2 linked regions of the Saccharomyces cerevisiae S288C genome follow. The protein of the gene in region 1 interacts with the protein of each later gene in a biochemical or structural test. Each region holds a gene or a part of one and is shown in the gene's direction. Other genes may lie near its edges.

What was found.
Region 2: the proteins of SOD1 (region 1) and YFH1 form a complex in vitro, tested with the Saccharomyces cerevisiae proteins (one study listed by BioGRID).

The regions. Positions count from the first base shown.
Region 1 is NC_001142.9:621,909-625,032, reverse strand, and holds SOD1 (superoxide dismutase SOD1), read left to right. Parts: upstream 1-2,018; coding exon 2,019-2,483; downstream 2,484-3,124. Other genes in the region: ECM27 (Ecm27p), read right to left, coding at 1-195; ADO1 (adenosine kinase), read right to left, coding at 430-1,452; CTP synthase URA8, read right to left, coding at 2,543-3,124. UniProt on the Saccharomyces cerevisiae protein: Destroys radicals which are normally produced within the cells and which are toxic to biological systems.
Region 2 is NC_001136.10:243,746-246,947, forward strand, and holds YFH1 (ferroxidase), read left to right. Parts: upstream 1-2,177; coding exon 2,178-2,702; downstream 2,703-3,202. Other genes in the region: ubiquitin-specific protease UBP1, read left to right, coding at 1-1,236; EXP1 (Exp1p), read right to left, coding at 1,388-1,837; HEM25 (Hem25p), read right to left, coding at 2,944-3,202. UniProt on the Saccharomyces cerevisiae protein: Promotes the biosynthesis of heme as well as the assembly and repair of iron-sulfur clusters by delivering Fe(2+) to proteins involved in these pathways.

The DNA.
Region 1 (3,124 bases):
TAAAGAACCATTCGATCGAAGGCTGTTGGGATCTGATATATGGGCCACGTTGGGGCAAAGAAAATCGGATGCACATATTCCTAATAACACGAAAGCAATAATGATATGAAATAAGCTCGGCACAATAAACGTTACTGAAAGTTTAGGATCCTTGTAAAGTAATCGTGGATGGGCGACATTGATTGCCCAGTCCATATTATTGTGTTATTGTTGCTTGTGTACGGCCGTATGTGGAGAGGATGAACGAGTATTTTGTTCTTAGCGCTGCTTGTCCTTTTTTCTTGAAGCTGTACTTTATAGCGCCTCTTTTCCTTATTGTGGTAACGGTGGCTTATTTGGTTTAAGAACAAGCGGTAAACATGTCTACGAATGAAAAGCTAGAGGGAACACGTAGAGTATATTTTATTTCTATTATATTGTAAGAAGAATCTATTTAGAGTAAGATATTTTTTCGGAAGGGTAAGAGGGACCAACTTCTTGAATAGACAAAGCAGCTAGCCATTGACCCATGTCAATAGAGGTTTCCAAATCTTCACCTTTAGTCAACCCAGCCATAAAGCCACCAGCGAAGGCGTCACCAGCACCGTTGGTGTCGACGATCTTAGAAGAGTCCAAAGGTTTGACTGGATATGTGCTGGTACCCTTGGAGGACACGACCACTGTTGGTTCGACACCGTGGGTGAAGATGACAGTCTTTTCAACTGGAGAGTCCTTGACAATTCTTTGAGCAATAGCTTCCAAATCAGTGTTGGCACAGTCTAATTGGAAGGCGTCGCAAAAGGCTTCGGCCTCCGATTCGTTAGCGATGATGACGGTAGCATAAGGCAAAACTCTGGCCAATGCGTCTTTGAAGACATGAGGAATGAAAGGAGCACTAAAGTTCAACACGAAAGGTTTGCTGTTCTCTTTAGCATGTTGGCCCAACTTAACGATAGCGTCTGGAGACACGGTCAAGTGGAAACCACCGATGTAGAAGAGCTTAGCTGCTTCGACCAAGTCCCAATGCTTGTCCAAGTGGTCTGGAGTAAAGAAATTGGCAGCACCCAAGTCAGTGACCAAGGACCGGTTATGGCCAGTGATTAATGCGGCACACTTACCGGTACCAATATCATTTTGAACTTGGTACATAGACTTGACACCAGCTTTTTCGTTTTCGTTAAGCAATCTCTCGCTGAACTTGTCCTTACCGACGGAACCGAAGTACACCACCTGGCCGGCGCCCAAAACGTATGCTGCCCCTCTAGCAGTGTTTTGAGCAGCACCACCTGCAACAAGCTTTGTTTCTGGCATCTGTAAGAGCTCGTCAAAAATAGCCATCTTAGCATCGCCTGATTTGGCATCGACCAAAATTGCGTCGTTTTCCTTTAGAGAATACTTGGCCAGGTATTCAGCCGTGACGTCGGCTTGGAAATCTAAAAGTGGGTTACCCAATACTACCAATGGTGCGGTCATAATTGCTTGCTCTTTCTTTTGCTGTTATCTTTGGTTCTACCCTGCACAAGATAAACTGAGATGACTACCTAATTAGACATGGCATGCCTATAAGTAAAGAGAATTGGGCTCGAAGAATAATTTTCAAGCCTGCCCTCATCACGTACGACGACACTGCGACTCATCCATGTGAAAATTATCGGCATCTGCAAAAAAAGTTTCAACTTCCACAGGTAATATTGGCATGATGCGAAATTGGACGTAAGTATCTCTGAAGTGCAGCCGATTGGGCGTGCGACTCACCCACTCAGGACATGATCTCAGTAGCGGGTTCGATAAGGCGATGACAGCGCAAATGCCGCTTACTGGAAGTACAGAACCCGCTCCCTTAGGGGCACCCACCCCAGCACGCCGGGGGGTTAAACCGGTGTGTCGGAATTAGTAAGCGGACATCCCTTCCGCTGGGCTCGCCATCGCAGATATATATATAAGAAGATGGTTTTGGGCAAATGTTTAGCTGTAACTATGTTGCGGAAAAACAGGCAAGAAAGCAATCGCGCAAACAAATAAAACATAATTAATTTATAATGGTTCAAGCAGTCGCAGTGTTAAAGGGTGATGCCGGTGTCTCTGGTGTTGTCAAGTTCGAACAGGCTTCCGAATCCGAGCCAACCACTGTCTCTTACGAGATCGCTGGTAACAGTCCTAACGCAGAACGTGGGTTCCACATTCATGAGTTTGGAGATGCCACCAATGGTTGTGTCTCTGCTGGTCCTCACTTCAATCCTTTCAAGAAGACACATGGTGCTCCAACTGACGAAGTCAGACATGTCGGTGACATGGGTAACGTAAAGACGGACGAAAATGGTGTGGCCAAGGGCTCCTTCAAGGACTCTTTGATCAAGCTTATCGGTCCTACCTCCGTTGTAGGCAGAAGCGTCGTTATCCACGCCGGCCAAGATGACTTAGGTAAGGGTGACACTGAAGAATCTTTGAAGACTGGTAATGCCGGTCCAAGACCAGCCTGTGGTGTCATTGGTCTAACCAACTAATGTTAATGATAATATACTTGAATAAAAACCGTATGTAAGTAAGTAGTAAGCGCATCAATTCATTCATTTTCATTTCCCTCGCTTAGATTTATGTCCTTGATCACTTCACCAAGTGTGCCGGAGGCTGCGGCCACAAGCCCCCAAAACGGTCTTGATGGTTCCAGCACCTTCGATGTATACTCTGGATGGTATTGAGTGCCCACGTAGTATGGATGGCCTTTCAATTCGAATATTTCGCAACGCTGGCCCGTCTCGTCCTTACCAACAAAAATAAAGCCACGAGACTCCATATCATTCACTATTTTCGGGTTTATCTCATAGCGATGACGATGTCTCTCATGCACCTCATTAACTTCACCATAAAGCTTCCTTATGTTGCTCCATTCTGAGTTCGGTTGGAAAATGGTAGGCCTCAAACCCAATCTCATCGTGCCACCCATGTGTTCCTTGTCGATCTCGGGCATGTATATGACTACTTGGTCTTCAGGAGCTAGTAGTGTCTCGTCCAAAAATTCTGTAGAACTGCTGTTTGGGCGGCCTATCACATTGCGGGCGAACTCGATAGCGGCAACTTGTAATCCAAGACAGACACCAAGAAAGGGAACACCGGATTCACGGGCCCATTTGGCAGCAAGAATCAT
Region 2 (3,202 bases), on another chromosome or scaffold:
TTATTTGGTCAGTTGAAAGAATTTGAAAAAAAACCTGAGGGTTCGATCCCAGAAAAGTTAATTAACGCTGTAAAAGATAGGGTCCATCAAATCGAAGAAGTTCTTGCCAAACCAGTTATTGACGATGAAGATTATAAGAAGTTGCATACAGCAAATATGGTACGTAAATGCTCTAAATCTAAGCAGATTTTAATATCAAGACCTCCACCATTATTATCCATTCATATCAACAGATCCGTATTTGATCCAAGAACGTACATGATTAGAAAAAATAACTCGAAAGTATTGTTTAAGTCAAGGTTGAATCTTGCCCCATGGTGTTGTGATATTAATGAAATCAATTTGGATGCTCGTTTGCCAATGTCAAAAAAGGAAAAAGCTGCGCAACAAGATTCAAGTGAAGATGAAAACATTGGCGGTGAATACTATACGAAATTACATGAACGCTTCGAGCAGGAATTTGAAGACAGCGAGGAAGAAAAAGAATACGATGACGCAGAGGGGAACTATGCGTCTCATTACAATCATACCAAGGATATCAGTAACTATGATCCCCTAAACGGTGAAGTCGATGGCGTGACATCCGATGATGAAGATGAGTACATTGAAGAAACCGATGCTTTAGGGAATACAATCAAAAAAAGGATCATAGAACATTCTGATGTTGAAAACGAGAATGTAAAAGATAATGAAGAACTGCAAGAAATCGACAATGTGAGCCTTGACGAACCAAAGATCAATGTTGAAGATCAACTAGAAACATCATCTGATGAGGAAGATGTTATACCAGCTCCACCTATCAATTATGCTAGGTCATTTTCCACAGTTCCAGCCACTCCATTGACATATTCATTGCGCTCTGTCATTGTTCACTACGGTACCCATAATTATGGTCATTACATTGCATTTAGAAAATACAGGGGTTGTTGGTGGAGAATATCTGATGAGACTGTGTACGTTGTGGACGAAGCTGAAGTCCTTTCAACACCCGGTGTATTTATGTTATTTTACGAATATGACTTTGATGAAGAAACTGGGAAGATGAAGGATGATTTGGAAGCTATTCAGAGTAATAATGAAGAAGATGATGAAAAAGAGCAGGAGCAAAAAGGAGTCCAGGAGCCAAAGGAAAGCCAAGAGCAAGGAGAAGGTGAAGAGCAAGAGGAAGGTCAAGAGCAGATGAAGTTCGAGAGAACAGAAGACCATAGAGATATTTCTGGTAAAGATGTAAACTAAGTTATAAATACGATATCCGTAATTGTGTAAATAACAATAACTATAATTAAATTGAATAATTAAAAGTCTACGTTATTCGTTAAATCAATTGTTTAGCTAGTTACGAATGTCTAAAGTTTTTGTAGGACAATTGCAAAAATCACTTCCATTATTATACAAATCCTTCGTAAGCTTCATTTTTCTTACCATTGTACTTCTTCAACTTTTTCTCTTCTTCTCTCCGTTCATCTAGTTCATCTTCGTTAATTAGGTCATCAATATCGAAATCGAAATCATTTGGATCTTTGTTGTACTGTCCAATTACACGTCTTTTAAGGCCTGTCTTTGAGTCTATTTCAAATTTTCTGGAAGCGGAAGAGGCACTTGCACTGTCATGGCCAAGGCTTTCCTCCGTGTCCTTCAGATCAAACTTTAATACATTGGTATGATCAAGTTTTTTTTTCAAATATTCCCTCTTACCAAGCTTACCAGTCGCTGACTGTGCTGTTGCAGACGATTTCGGTTTTGTTAGTTTGAATGTACCGATGCCAGAAAACAATGGCAACAATGCAATGAAAGCAATCACAATAATGAGAAGTAAAAAATAACCGTATAGATTCATGCTCCGGACTTATTGACTTAGGCACCGAGAACTTTAAGGGAATTCGTCCTTTTCTTTTACTAAACGTAGATCATGGGTGCTTGATTTAGAGATACAACTCATCGCACTTGACAAATTTCAAAAAACCGTATTCAGTGATCATATTTGAAAAGTCACGTTTCTTACAATGTCCACATAGCCCTATAGGATATGAGGGATTAGTAACCGTAAATGATCTCTTTGAATCGCATTTTTAATTGAAAGCAACCTCGCTTGAAGACACTTACAAATCGTTACGTACTACTGAATACCAGAAAGATAGTATTTCAAAAAAAACTAAGCGAGAAGATAGAGTGTAGCAATGATTAAGCGGTCTCTCGCAAGTTTAGTTCGAGTCAGCTCTGTAATGGGCAGAAGATATATGATAGCAGCGGCAGGAGGAGAACGTGCCAGATTTTGTCCAGCTGTAACAAATAAAAAGAATCATACTGTAAATACTTTTCAGAAGAGATTTGTAGAATCCTCGACAGATGGTCAAGTTGTGCCTCAAGAAGTGTTAAACTTACCGCTTGAAAAATACCATGAAGAGGCAGATGACTACCTAGACCATTTACTAGATAGCTTAGAAGAACTGAGTGAGGCTCATCCGGATTGTATACCTGATGTAGAGCTAAGCCATGGCGTAATGACATTGGAAATTCCAGCTTTTGGAACGTATGTAATAAACAAACAGCCTCCAAATAAGCAAATTTGGTTGGCATCACCATTGTCCGGGCCTAACAGATTTGACCTTCTCAATGGGGAGTGGGTTTCGTTAAGAAATGGCACAAAGCTAACAGATATACTTACTGAAGAAGTTGAGAAGGCCATTTCTAAAAGCCAATAAGTGCACTTATCCATCGACTCTCTTATATTTATTTAAACACTTGTAACGCATCCAATCTATTTCATAGTTAGAGTCTCTCTTCCTTGTTATTGATATGATTTTTCTTTTGTACCGTGTGTGTATGTATGTATGTATGAACGTACTACTAAGCTTCAACGTCACTCTATAAAGAAACTAAAAAGACACGTATTTATACCTTTTTTGAAGAATGCGAGATTGCAATGAAATATGTGTCTATTTTTTACATGAATCTTTTGACCAACTCCTCATATATACCCCACGCAATACCTGCACTGAAGGCCTTTCTTGCCAGCCTCATGCTTAACCCGCTAAATAACTTCAGCACATTTTCATTTTTAACTATAGATGTAAATGTATTGAAGGAGTTGGTAAATTTTGATGGTTCCAATTGCATTCTCGTTTTTATGGTGTCGAACGGTGCCGTTACTGTGGTGGCTAAACTGGCGGATAGTACGGCGCTTGTTGTATTTACTGTTGTA